3 linked regions of the Sus scrofa genome follow. The protein of the gene in region 3 purifies or fractionates together with the protein of the main gene of each other region. This does not show direct contact. Links are inferred from orthologs where the notes say so. Each region holds a gene or a part of one and is shown on either strand. Other genes may lie near its edges.

Evidence for each region.
Region 1: the proteins of CEP97 (region 3) and CCP110 purify together in Homo sapiens (co-immunoprecipitation; 10 studies listed by BioGRID and IntAct, with this or other methods). This does not show direct contact. The link is inferred for Sus scrofa from reciprocal best matches to the Homo sapiens genes CEP97 and CCP110.
Region 2: the proteins of CEP97 (region 3) and SUGT1 purify together in Homo sapiens (affinity purification with mass spectrometry; 3 studies listed by BioGRID and IntAct, with this or other methods). This does not show direct contact. The link is inferred for Sus scrofa from reciprocal best matches to the Homo sapiens genes CEP97 and SUGT1.

The regions. Positions count from the first base shown.
Region 1 is NC_010445.4:26,163,868-26,168,258, reverse strand, and holds part of CCP110 (centriolar coiled-coil protein of 110 kDa), read left to right. Parts: intron 1-1,241; coding exon 1,242-1,315; intron 1,316-1,838; coding exon 1,839-1,901; intron 1,902-3,049; coding exon 3,050-3,109; intron 3,110-3,604; coding exon 3,605-3,690; intron 3,691-4,391.
Region 2 is NC_010453.5:25,903,596-25,908,563, forward strand, and holds the start of SUGT1 (protein SGT1 homolog), read left to right. Parts: upstream 1-1,846; 5' UTR 1,847-2,515; coding exon 2,516-2,553; intron 2,554-2,650; coding exon 2,651-2,708; intron 2,709-4,968. UniProt on the Homo sapiens protein: May play a role in ubiquitination and subsequent proteasomal degradation of target proteins.
Region 3 is NC_010455.5:157,385,044-157,390,155, forward strand, and holds the start of CEP97 (centrosomal protein of 97 kDa), read right to left. Parts: upstream 3,383-5,112; 5' UTR 3,285-3,382; coding exon 3,242-3,284; intron 1,418-3,241; coding exon 1,275-1,417; intron 1-1,274. UniProt on the Homo sapiens protein: Acts as a key negative regulator of ciliogenesis in collaboration with CCP110 by capping the mother centriole thereby preventing cilia formation. Required for recruitment of CCP110 to the centrosome.

The sequences.
Region 1 (4,391 bases), on a different chromosome or scaffold from region 3:
CTGAGCCACAATGGGAACTCCAAAAAAAACTTAATGAGGAGAAAATACATTTAAAGTACTGTGCTATATTTATCAATACCATAAATTTCTATCTGTTTACAAGATGAATCGTGTCTGTTAGTACCTATATTGGTATTGTCTTATATGATACAAAACTGTGTATATGTTATTTGTATTATTTTAATACTAGATATCAAAAATGAAAAGATAATGTGAAAAATTCATACTTATAATGATTCGTGCATTGATAATGAGGCAGCCTGGGAGCCTAGTGTAATCAATGTGACTGCTTCACAGTAGCCTAACCCATACAGTAAGGAATAAATTGTTATAATTATAGGATACAGTATTTCATTCATAATGCCGTATTGGAAACTGTTTTTCTTTTTTTTGTTTTTTAAACCACTCATCTGTGGTGATAGGTTGCAGTTGAGAAAGAGAAGAGGGGGAGAGGGAGGGAGAGAGAAAGGGTAAGAGAGAGAAAGAGGCAGGGATACTATATGGTAATTAACTTTTTGAAAGCAAAGTTATAAAACAATTAGAAAACTTAACACATTAATTTTATATTAACTATCACTCATGTTTAAGGATAGACTAGTATATACATGTATTTTATGCATTCATGCAAAATTTTTTTGGATAGTTCGAGGTTATGCATTTCATCTGTGAGTTTTTTCAAATTGTCACAAATCTCCAGTGTGTTTGTTGAAAAAATTCTGCATGTAAGATACCCATGCAGTTCAAACCTGTGTTGTTCAAGGGTCAGCTGTACATCAGAGTGTTGGAGATCTGTGGTCTGAATCAATGATCCTGGTGTGGTTGGCAAAAGACAAGTGAAATTTATACTATTTCATTGGGGAAACCAATTTTTTTTTTTTTTGCTTTTCAGGGCCACACCCATGGCATATGGAAGTTCCCAGGCTAGGGGTCCACTTGGATCTACAGCTGCCAGCCTATACCGCAGCCACAGCCATGCTGGATCCTTAACCCACTGAGTGAGGCCAGGGCTTGAACCTGCAACCTCATGGTTCCTAGTCGGATTCATTTCTGCTGTGCCATGGCAGGGAAAATAACTTTAATTATTTAATTTAAAAAATCAGCCTGCTTCAGTTATAAAGGCTGTTAAAGTTCAAAATGTTAGTAAGAGAAGCTTTTCTATGCAGTTTGAGGTCATCCTATATTATAATTCAGTGGTAGTACTGATACTACTAGAGCTTGATGTCACTTTTTGTGTTTTAAAGGATAAAATGAAAAGTCCACGAGTAGCCCTTTCAGCTGCAACACAGAAGTCTCTTGATAGGAAGAAGTACATGAAGTAAGTTTCTTTCATGTCTTGTCACATATTAATTATTATCAAAGCCAATAAATTTTAATCATCTGTTGGTTTGTATATTCAGATTAGAAATAATTTTTTCTGCAGCTGAGGTGATAGAAATCCCTTTATATAAATAATTTTATTCAGATCTGGTGGTAAAATCTGATCTTTACTAACTAACTAATAAATTTGTCCGTGTTCAACTTGTGTAATTGATAGCTAATCAAATCATCTTTAAAATAGTTAATCTTTCAGTGTTAATTTTCTATCTTTTAAATATACTCTTTTTCTAATACCTAAAGACTTCGTGAAGGGAAAAGCTTAATGCAAAGAATATCCTGAAAGTATCCTATTAAAACTCTTCTTTCTTGAAATTTGTCTTTAGTGTGCCTATCATAAGGTCCTTCAGTAGTATACCAACTTTGAAATGGCGATTGTTTCTGATCCTGTATCGCATTTGTAATCATGTTTCTCCCCTTTCTAAATACATTATTTGTGTGTCCTTATTTTTATATTGTGTTAGAGCTGCAGAAATGGGAATGCCAAATAAGAAATTTCTGGTTAAGCAAAATCCTTCTGAAACAAGGTGAGAAAAAAATCACTTAGTCTTGGTGAGAGGCTATTTTTCAGTTTTTTTTTTTTAATTGATTGATTGATATTTGCTTTTTAGGGCCGCTACACCTGTGGCATATGGATGTTCCCAGGCTAGATGGTGGAATTGGAGCTGTAGCTGTCAGCCTACACCACACTGAGCGAGGCCTTGGATCAAAACCGCATGCTCATGGATACTAGTCAGATTCTTTTTTGCTGTGCCACAACCAGAACTCCTATTTTTCAATTTTTAAGGAAAGAAAATTTTATAAATCCTGAGCTTGCTTTTCTACAGTAAATCAGTAAATCTCTCATCAGTTCATCAGTCAGTCTCTCCCTGCTGAGTTGGGGGGTTGCAGAGTCAGAACATAGTAACACCTGGTCAGGTACCTGGTCATGTGTCAGACCAGATGTTCCTGGAGCTTTTAGTCAGACATGCATCTCTGATGGAAATTTGAGCCCCATATGTCCTGAGTTCAGTCCGTGGTCCGAGAGGACTTTGATACTTTTTTGTTTTTTGTTTTTGCTTTTTAGGGCCGCCACACCTACAGCATATGGAAGTTCCCAGGCTAGGGGTCAAATTGGAGCTACAGCTGCTGGCCTACACCACAGCCACAGCAACGCCAGATCTGAGCTGTATCTGAGACCTACACCACAGCTCACGGCAACGCTGATACCCCACCCACTGAATGAGGCCAGGGATCGAACTTGTGTCCTCAAGGATACCGGTCGCATTCGTTTCCACTGTGCCACATTGGGAAATCTGATACTTATTTAAAAAACTTAGAAAGCTAGCTTAATATTTCTGACCTGTTTTTTGCAGTTACAAGAGCGATATTCTGTCTCTCAGATGTTTGCAAAGGTTTTGTAAAGTATATAAGTAACTTATCTAAAAGCACAAGGATTAATACTTGCTAGACATCTCTTTCCTGATGAAAAACTAAGGTTTGGGCTTTTGGTGAGCAAATTAAGTACCATATTAATACTCTGTAATCGACTTGCTTTGCCTGGTGCTAGTGTATAGGCCAAATCATTTAATAGATGCCTTCTACCCGAGTGTTATCATCTTTTATCTATTGAAAGAAAATGGGGAAAAACTGAATTTATCCTATCAAATTAATTTTTTATATGCTTTGTCAACAGAGTCCTTCAGCCAAATCAAGGACAGAATGCACCTGTTCATAGGCTACTGAGTAGACAAGGGTAAGAATGCAACACACATGGGTACTTAAAAAATATATTCAAATCAAGATTAGCTTTGAGAGGGAAAAATAATTTTGTGCTTTTTAGATAAAGGATAACTTTTCAAATGTGATCTTTTTATTACATTAGCAGAGCTTATAAAGTTTTGTGCAAAGATAACCCTTTGGGTGTACTGTTGTGTATTATATTTTAATTGTCATCTTATGTTGGCTTGTTTTTACTTTTCATTTCATACCATTTGCTCATTAAATATTATAAGCATTCACATAGTAAGTTCATCATCACCAAAGCGATTCTCCAGTAAAGCGTAAGCCATGGTTATAGTCTCCTGCTGAAGCAAAAGCATAGCTCCCTTCCTGTGCGTGTGCATGAGACTTAAATTCTTTTCAAGCTTATTGTGCTTTGAACAGTTGATGCCGTGTGGTTGCTTTCTTTGAATGTTGAACATTTAGACCTTAATGCAAGTGACTTATTAATTTTTTTATATTCAATTAGAACCCCTAAGACATCAGTGAAGGGGGTTGTGCAAAATAGACAGAAGTCTTCACAGAGCAGAATGCCTAACAGAGCGCCTGTTTCAGGTGTGTAGCAAACAAGTTCCTGAAGCCCATTCAATAGAAAGACGTGCACAAGCCGCCCCATGACACAGGCCACACCAGCGGGATCCAGTGTCTTTCCTTGCCACCATAATTTTGGCATATTCACAGTCATTCCTCCTAGTGATCATTTGTGTTAGTGTTTTGTGGCAGTCAGGAAATCTTAGTGAAGCTGTAGCCCCAATTCTGATTTCTGTAACAAATTATGAAAAATCTGTAGAATTACACAAACTTAATTCAGAGAAGTTTTTGTAAATGAGTAAAATATAACCATCTGATGTCTGCATCTGTGCATGTTTATTCAGCTTTGGGAAAGTGTATCACCCGGGAATATTTGTACCTGCACATAAGGGGAAAAATTCCTCCCTCTGACCACAAGATCACATGTGAATATGCCCGGTGGGAGGGGGTGAAGTCAGTCTTCTGCTCCATAAGAAGCTTGAGCTAAATCTTTATGTTCATTATTTGAGAATTAGTTAAGAGCTAAACTAAAACTATTTTAAAATTATATTTATGGTGGCAAGAAGACAAATTCAGTCTTGAGCTAATGCAAAACTGAAGCTAATGTTTTAATATTTTTTAGATATTTTTGTTAAGACTGTATGATAAACTCACCAGAAATGATGTGATCCATTAAAAATATTTTTAAAATGCTTTGCTTTAACTATACTGCTTTCTAAACTTTT
Region 2 (4,968 bases), on a different chromosome or scaffold from region 3:
CCATGGCGTTAAGCTGCAGCTCTTTTTTGAACTCTAGCCTGGGAACTTTCATATGCTACAGGTGCGGCCAAAAAAGCAAAAAAAAAAAAAAAAAGGCTCATAAAGTTAATCAATTAATGGTGTGGTACCAGTTTAGACCAAGGGAATGAGAACCTGGAAACAGACCCACATATGTGTGATCAACTACTTTATAACAAAAGTGCCATAATTATTTAGTGGGGGGAATGGCAAATAAATCTTTTCAGTATGTAGGGCTGGGATATCCATTTAGGGGGAAAAGGAACCTTAATCCCAACCTCATACATTTTATAAAAATTAATAGACCTGGACATGAAAAGTATGATAGTAAAGCATCTAGAAGAAAACACAGGTGACTCTGTTCATGGCTTTTGAGTAGGCAAAGCCTTATACTAGATGCAAAAAGAACTGATCACAAAAGGAAAGCTCAAGAGTTCTGGTGGTGGCTCAGCGGTAAGGATCCTGACTAGTATTAATGAGGATGCGAGTTTGATCCCTGGCCTCACTCAGTGGGTTAAGGATCCAGCATCTCGTGAACTGTGGTGTAGGTCGCAGATGCAGCTCAGATCTGGCATTGCTGCGGCTGTGGCATAGGCCGGCAGCTGCAGCTCTGATAACCCCTAGCCTGGAAATTTCCATATACCCTAAAAAGAAGCAAAACAAAAGGAAAGATCAGCAAACCCAGTTTTTTCTTAGTTATTTCTGCAATTCTTACCATCCCCTCCATCCCTATTGTTACAGACCTATTTATAAGAGTCACTTTGGCTTGTAATACAGCAGTTGTCTTCCAACTGTTCTTTTTTCTTTCTTTCCTTTTTTTTTTTCTTTTTAGGACTGCACCCTTGGCATATGGAAGTTCCCAGGCCAGGGGTCAAATCAATCGGAGCTATAGCAGCCAGCCTACACCACAGCTCACCGCAAAGCTGTTTCCTTATCTGAGTGAGGCCAGGGGCTGAATCAGTATCTTCATGGATCCTAGTTGGATCCGTTTCTGCTGCACCACAACAGGAACTCCCCAATGACTGTTCTTTTCCTTTATTCTTTGATAGCACAGATAATAAACATTTAAAATGTAAATTTCACTAGTACAGCCTTCTTTTGAGTAAAAATCTTATAATGGGTTAGGATCCTTCAGAGAAGCTCATCCCAACTTCTCAACGGACCACAACTAGTCCTTTATGACCTGGCACATAACCTACCTCCCTGCCCTCTCTGCTTCTAGCCTGAATTTTGGCTCTATCAATTTTAGAGTTCACATTATCACTTGCTAGCATTCATCCTATTCCGTCTGAATTGCTTTTTTCATTTCCTTCACTGATTCGTCTTTCCAAACTGAAGCTCGAGTACAAAGTGTTTGAGGATTCCATCCCTAGACCTTATGGGCGGCTAAAAGCCCCTTGTTACCACATCACTGACTACTGTCTTTCTTTCCTTTTAGCACTTAGAACTAAATTGACTTAAGTTTCTGGGGGGCATTACCACCACTGAATCCCAGGACTTAGTTTAGATTTTGGATGTAGTAGACACTCAACTTCAGTTATTCCTTCATCTCTACTGAGGAACCAACCATTCACTCCCACTCCCTCTTGCTCCCGGACTCCGGTCCGTGGAACCTGCTGGAAGTTTCGTCTATCTAAACTGCATGGGTCAAAAGTGGGAGGGGGCCTGTCCGACTAGGTGTAAAGTAACACCAAGACAACTTGAGGGTCCATTTCTCCTTTCAATGCCTTCGGATGGAGTACGTTTTTCTTCTTAGTCTGGGAAGCCAACGAGGAAGACAACCTTAGGTCTGCGGAGTCCTGGGGCCCATGGAACAGTCCACCCGCCCCGGAACCAAAAGGCTTCCTCTGCTCTACCCTCCGCAGAGGCAGAACGACTTCCGGAAAGTCCGCGGCCTTCAGGGTTCCCAGCGCCAAGATGCCGGCACCCACCAATGCGCCGCGCCATCCGGAACTCGCTCCCGGAAAAGAACACGTAGCGCGGGATGACGTCACGGGTCACAAAGGGCTCGGTTGCTTCCAAGAGCCATGATGAGCGCTGTAGGGAAAAACGGAGCTCGATGTGCTTTGTGTTATTAACAGACATATAAACTCCCCCAAAGTCCACACGTTCCCGAAGGAGAACAGTATGGTACAAAACTCCTTTCAAGCTAGCGCTCCGGAGGCTCCACGGGACTGTGGGCGCGCAGCGGGACGGAGGGCTAGCGTGAACCACCGCGGCCTCCGTAACCGAGGCTGCAGGGGGCGGAGCCTGCGGGGCTGGTCTCCGGCCAGGGGGCGGGCCGGGAGAGTCGGTCCTCCACGGTCCCAGCCCACCCCGCGCCCGCGCTTCGCCTCCCCTCCCCCCCCCCCCCCCCGCGGCACGCTGCGTGGCTGCTCGTTGGCTCCTTAGGACGGAAGCTCGGTTGGTGTTTCTCCAGAAGTTTCCCCCTTGGGCGGCGGCGGACTGGTAACCTCGGTAGGAGCGGCTCCAGCAGCGGTAACAGTGACCAGTAGGGATGGCGGCGGCTGCAGCGGGACCTGCAACGGCCCAAAGGTGCGTGTTTTACCTTTTCTTTGCTATTTATTAGTACCCAGCATCCTCTGTTTTCCTTGGTTAGTGCGCCCTGCTGAAGTCGTTGTTTTCCTGGCAGGTTTTTCCGGAGCTTCTCAGATGCTCTGATCGAAGAGGACCCCCAGGCGGCGTTAGAGGTGAGCGAGCTGGTCCAGCTTCCTTCACTTTGCTGTGGGCAACGGGGGGGCCGCGTTGGGTTCTGGCCCACCCCGCCTCTTCGCAGCACTGTTTTCCCGGGGCCGGGGCTGCTGCTTGTCTTGTGTCTCAGTCTTGATATTGAAAACCCCCGCCTCTTTTCTCTGTCCATCAGCGGCCCAGTCACTCCAGATCCCAGTTCTTGCTACCTCCCTCTCCTAGACGGTTCCTGCATCCTCGGAGCGTCTCAGTAAAACCTGCCTTCTTTCTTGGGAATGTGGTTGACTTTCATAGTTGGCCTGAAAGGGCCTGGTTTTTTTTGTTTGTTTTTAATGGCATTAGGGACAAAAAGGAAATTTTAGGCTTGATATTTGTTAACTCGGCTTTTCGCTTGACTAAGTCATCCTTGCCATTTTAATGTACCAGGCTCTGTGCTAAGTGCCTGTATGAACTCGCTACTGGAACAAAAACCTTTCCTGTGTGTGCCTGAAAATTTCCAGATGTCCTGTCACTGTTCATTATTCACTCATTTGCTTCTTCCTCAAAACAATTTCTTGGGGTTTTTGTTGTGTGCAAGGAACTGATTGCTGTGGGTTAAAGTCTTAGTTCGATGTTTAACTGACTTGGTGGGCATTCTGTGTGCAATGAAAGGCTATAAAGGTGTAAAGGAAAGCAAAAAACAAGAGTGAAGTCATGATTGAAACTAATAAAGGGAGCCCACATTAAGAATACGTGATGCAGTGGGTCCCAAAGTTTAGCCAGGTGTCTCTTGCTTGGAAGCTCAAGAGGGAACCTTGGTTCGCAGTTGTGATCCACCACATGGAAGGTGAGCAGTTTGAGGCAGGAAAACCTTTTCCTCACCGTGACTTCTAAAAGAAATCTGCCACATGGTTGGTTGAGGAGGTGACATCTGAGCTGAGGCCTGAGGGAGTGAGCTTGGAAGCTCTGGAGAAAGATGATTTCAGGCAGGAAGAGGAGCCGGTTTCAAGATCCTGAGGTAGGCGTGAAGTTGGCCTGCACAAGGAGCAGCAGGAAGGCCATTTAGTTGGAGGGGGATGAAAGAGAAGTAAGAGATGAGGTGGGGAGGAAATGAAGGCCTAGGTCCTGTGGGGCCTTTTAGGTTGGAGTATGTTTTTTGGGTCTGGATATGAAGACCTTCAGAGTGGCTGATGACTCTGTTGTGCTGTGATGTTTCCTAGTGATGCTTCTGGGATCCGTGTCAGAGTCAGGTTACTAGAGACACAGAACTTTGTCCACAATTCCTAATGTCGGCCGGATAGCTCTTCATGTTCTGAATCTACGTTTGGTATGGTCCTCTTAGGCGCCATGCCTCCTTTGGAAATCCAGTTTGTATAATAATAGCTCCTAAAGGATATGAATGTAGTGAGTTCGTTGTCCCCTTATATTTGATTTATTTTACTTTTAGAATTACTTATGGATGTGTGATAGGTAATACAGTTCTTAAATCTGCCACTCATGAGCTTGAAGTCTTACGTGTATATACTGCTCAGATCAAGGTACAGAATACTTAACATCCTCAAGCTTAATCTCCTATGTCCTCCTAGCCAGTTATTCCTCTACCCCACCAGATAACCCCTGTTCTGAATCTTATCACCACCAGTTAATTTTGCTTGTTCTTGAACTTAGAAATAGCATCATACACGAGGTACACAGTTGAGTGTAGGTATTGTCTTGCTTTAAGCATTAGGTAAGAGACATCCCCAGATTGTGTGAAGTGGTGGTTCTTTTTCATTGCTATGTAGTCTTGTGTATACATATAGCACAATTTATCTAGTCGGACAGTGGACATTTGGTTTATTTCCAGTTAGTGTGAATAAAACCACTGTGAATTTTCTTATACCTGTATTTTAGTAAACACACAGACTCCTTTTTGTGGGCGGGGTGCTTTTTTTTTCCTTTCTTTTTGGAAGTGAATTGCCTGGTTAGCTTTAGTGTGTTGATCCTTAACGTGTGGCTCTTGGGAATTCTCTTGTAGCACAGTGGTTGGGGATCCAGCATTGTCACGGCAGTGGCTTGGGTCGCCACTGTGGCACAGGTTCAGTCCTTGGCCTGAGAACTTCCACGTGACCCGGATGTCACCCCAAAAACCCCAAACAAAAAAAAATGCGTGGCTCTTGGACCAACAGCATTGCTTCCTTGGGAACATGTTAGAGGTGCAAATTCTTGGACCCTACCCCAGATTTTCTGAAAGTACTTGTGACTCCCACAGGCCAGTACTCTTCACCCTTCCGTTTTATAGAA
Region 3 (5,112 bases):
CTGTTTCTAAGCAGTGGAAAACACAGAAAAAGCTAAGCAATCAGACCTACTCCAACTACTACTAAAAGAAAACATTTTTAATACAGCAACTACTTGAGAATGTAAGCTTCATAATAATGGAGTCCTTACACTGACTTCATCAAAATCTAGAACAGTGCCAGACACACAAGAAGGGACCAATAAACATTTGCTGAATGAATAAATCAATGAAATCTGTACCCTCACCATAAAATAAAAAGTTATCTCAACAATGTAATACAGGAGTTTCTGTTGTGGCGCAACAGAAACAAATCCAACTAGGAAGCATGAGGTTTCAGGTCCAATCCCTGGACTTGCTCAGTGGGTTAAGGATCCAGTGTTGCTGTGAGCTGTGGTATAGGTTGCAGATGCAGCTCGAATCTGGTGTTGCTGTGGCTGTGGTGTAGGCCAGCGGCAACAGCTCTGATTAGACCCCTAACCTGGGAACCTCCATATGCCATGAGTGTGGTCCTAAAAAGACAAAAAAAAAAAGTAGTATTTTTCCAACCTGTTTTCTTTTTTTTGCTTTTATTTAATGATTTTTATTTTTTTCCATTATAGCTGGTTTAGTGTTCTGTCAATTTTTCACTGTACAGCAAGGTGACCCAGTCACACATACATATATACATTCTTTTTTCTCACATTATCATGCACTATCATAAGTGACTAAACATAGTTCCCAATGCCCAACCTGTTTTTTTAACAAATGCTTTTTTTTTCCTAGTCTACTTTAAATGTAGCAAATATATATTCATCTTCAGAAGTTTAAAAATCATTCTGCAAAGGAGTTCCCATCGTGGCTCAGTGGTTAACAAATCCGACTAGGAACCACTGTGGGTTTGATCCCTGGCCTTGCTCAGTGGGTTAAGGATCCGTTGCCGTGAGTTGTGGTATGGGTTGCAGACGCAGCTCAGATCCCATGTTGCTCTGGCTGCGTTGTAGGCCGGCAGCTACAGCTCCGATTGGACCCCTAGCCTGGGAACCTCCACATGCCGTGGGAGCGGCCCTAGAAAAGGTAAAAAGACAAAAAAAAAAAAAAAATTATGTAATAAGCATGTCATGTAAAAATTTTTTATTTTTCATTAAATTATTTTATTTACTAAATAAATTTATTACAGTTACTAATATTTTTTTAAATGTAAGGCAACATTTACTGCTTTCCAGGCTTGCAGAGTTACTTTTTGTTATATGATTGTTTCATTTTCTGTAAGAATAAGCTAGTCATGTAACTATTTTCTCCACATAGCAATACCTACCTGTATTAATCGTTTGTATTTCTCAAGATTTTCTAATTTAATAATCTGATTTTTATCCAGAATCAAAGTATGAATATCAACTTCACAGGGTAAGTTTGGACTTAATTTCTGTAGCCCCTGCCCTGACCAATTGACCACTGATCCTTGAAAAGAGAAGAGAAACTGTTAGAAAACACAAATACAAGAGCTGAGCATAGGGATAAAATTATACTCATAAAATCTTACACATTTAGAGTTAGAAAACACCAGAGCATAATAAATATCGTTGAAAAACTAAAACAAATGATTTCTCAATGACTGTAGACTGAAATTATTCACTTTCCCTCAGAAATATCAAATCATATCTAGATCTGTGATACTCAAGTTTCTATATTTGGGAATTCTTCACATTTAAATGGGAACTATCACTTCTCTATTCTGTACCTAAATAATGACAGTATTTTTAAAATGTAACTAATCTTTTGATAGAGACCAACCTGCTTACAACCTACCAGTATATCCTAAAGTGCTCAAACTATTTTGAAAATAAAAGTAAATTTATCTACAGGATGGTAATAATATACCTAATTCATTAAATTGATGTGAAGATGAAAGGAGAAACCATATGAACAGTATTTAGCCTCATTCCTGGTACACAATATTCAATAAAATAATTTAGTATATATAACGGACCTTCAGATCCTAGCTCCCCTAGCTAAATACTGTGATATCCTGGGCAAGTTACTGATATCTTTTGGGCTCGCTCTTCTACTCTATAAAATAGGGATGATAATAATACCTGGCTTATAATGTTTGGGGTTTTTTTAATATAATGATTTTTATTTTTTTTCCATTATAGCTGGTTCTGGCTTATAACCTTCCACAGAGAAAATGAGATAATGTTTAAAAAAAAAAAAAAGGCACTCAGAACATAGTCTGGCTCATTTAAAAAGTGCTCTATAAATGTTACTATTATGATTATCAGTAAACTGCCATGGTGGGCTGGTGAGGGGAATTTAAGAGATGCAGATATCAGAGGGTGGAAGGGCCAGAGAAACTACCAATATCAAATTATACCCAGATTAAGATTACTGAGGGAAATAACTATACAAGGTTGCTCTCCTGAAGAGTTGCAACGTTTTTCCATTGTCTAATGGTTTCTAGCATTTGGGGGAAGGTAGGAGAGGAAGTGTCATTCCGTTCTGAGAATTTAGTGAAAGCTATATACCGTCCCAGAAAAATGAATAGCTTTTGCACACAATTCAAAGGGCCGAAAGACCTCTTAGAACCTCCCTCCCAAATAAGGCCCTGATCTGGGCGGTGGAGACTAGTCTCGACCCTCCAACCTGCCCCCGACCCAGAGCCTCAGCTGTAACCAAAACAAAGAAGCTGGCTCACGCAGCACCTACGGAATCACCCACGCCCCGCGCTCTCCTCAGCAGCCACCAAACCAGGTCCCAGGACCACATATACAGAACAAGGGGTGGAGAACTGTGGGCTCTGAATAACCCCCAGATTTTATCACGGCCACGAGACACTTCCCAAGAAAAGGTCCAACGTCAATCTAGGGAGCTGTGTTAGAGATTTTTCTTGAAAATTTTAGGGATCCAAGGGAAAGGGGGGACTCTGCAGTTTTCACTTGGGAACCCAGAACTCAAAGTAAACATCCAAGAAAGGTCATCGCGGCCAGAAACCCATCATCCAAGCATCCTCAGCAGCGCGGGACCCGCGGCGTCCAGTAGCGCGAAGGTCCCTGGGGGCTTGTAGTCCCCCCACTTGGCCCTAGCCGCGACACTGGAGAGCCAGGCAGCGCCCAGGAGACTACAACTCCCAGAGGGTAGCGCGCCTCGGCGATGCCCGCAGCCCCGCATCAAAAGAACTGGACAAGAACTGCACCCCTATACCCAGTCTTATTCCTTCCGTCAAGCAACTATTTAATTCAGTTCCATGGAGTAAACCTGGGGACACAGAGGTGACGGTCGCCTTACCTTCTCCAGGAGGCAAAGCCGCGTCGATGCGCGCCACCGCCATACTTCCCGCTTGCTAATTACACCAAGCAACCGTCCTCCTGCTGCTCGATGGAGCTTGTAGTCTGGAGGAGGGACACCCCCCCCCGGAACTACAGCTCCCAGGATGCACGGCACCCAAACGGCCCAATTGGCTCCCTACGCCTAATGACGCAAAACGTGTGTTAGAAACTGAGCCGCAGTGGGTTTAGGAATCCTGGTCAACTCGCTTATTTGGCTACAAGCGAACAGATGTTAAATGATAGTTTCACTCCTTTTTGTAGGTGTTTTCGAAATTGGACACTTTTACCATCTGCTACCGAATGCAGATCGCATTTGAAAACTCATTGCTAGAGACTTCCGATAATGGGGGCTGTCCCTTCTTTTGGCAATTCTGAATAAGTTAAAAGCGTTGAATTCCACTACAGGCGATTTTGTTGAGATTAGTCAAAGTAGATATATTTTATTTGAAAATATAGTTAAAGAATGCTGGGATAGAAGTTTTTATAAAGTATTTTTAAATGGTTGTTCCTCCAATATTTAACAGAACTTTAGGCCTGGGAGTATATTTAGTAAGTGTAAACCCAGACTATTTCCAGATTATACAAAATAAGTGTACAGTATACAAAATCAAAAATTACACTGCTTAGCTGGAGGAGAGTAGGTTTATACTTGTGATATAGCTTTATGCGCTAACTAGTGTAAATGTAGCTACGAACTCAGTAAGATTTCAGGGGCTGGAGAAAGAAATGAAAACTAATCTTCAGAAAAGACTTGAAATGGGAACTGAAATGGGCGGCTAACGCTTAAAAGATGGGTAGACTCCGACACTTCAAAGAGAAATGAAAAGACAGCACAGGCTGCAGGTGGAGGCAGGTGATAATGAAGCTGTGCTCACAGGAAGTGAGAGATTAACCTGGTAGCATCCCAGAATGGAGGAGGAGAGCTTTCAGTTTCTACCACTCACTCTTCCATTCCATCTTGCAACTTTTATTCTGAATTTCCCTCTTTCTGAAACAGCAGTATCCAAAATCTCTGATAATTTCTGTTTGGGAAAATCCAGTAACTCACACTTTTAGATTTCCAGGCAATTGATTCTGTGTGCATTCCCCCCTTCCTGGGTCCTCCTCCTACTAATTACACACTGCCTTAACTCTTTTTTTCTTTTTTAATATGTTTCCCACTGATTTGGTCTGAAAACAAATTTCCTAGTTCTGATGAGAGAATAAAGACTAGAAACTTTTACACATGCACCCGCACATTCACTGCAGCTCTGTTCACAACAGCCAAGATATGGAAACAACCCAAACGTCCATCAACAGATGTTTGGATTAAGAAGATGTGGTGTATATATACACCAGCCATAAAAAAGAACAAAATAATGCTATTTGCAGCAACATGGATGGAACTAGAGACTCTCATACTGAGTGAAGTAAGTCAGAAAGAGAAAGACAAATACCATATGATATCACTTATATCTGAACTCTAATATAAGGCACAAATGAACCTTTTCACAGAAAAGAAAATCATGGACTTGTGATTGCCAAGGGGGAGAGAGTGGGATGGATTAGGAACTCGAGGTTAATAGATGCAGATTATTGCCTTTGGAATGGATAAGCAATGAGATCCTGCTATATAGCACTGGGAACTATGTCTACTTACTTATGATGGAGCATGATGATAATGTGAGAAAAAAGAATGTATATATATGTATGTGTGACTGGGTCACCTTGCTGTACAGTGAAAAATTGACAGAACATTGTAAACCAGCTATAATGGAAAAAATGAAAATCATTATATGTGGGGGAAAAAAAAGACTAAAAATTTTTTTTCTTCTAACCAAGAGACCCCTT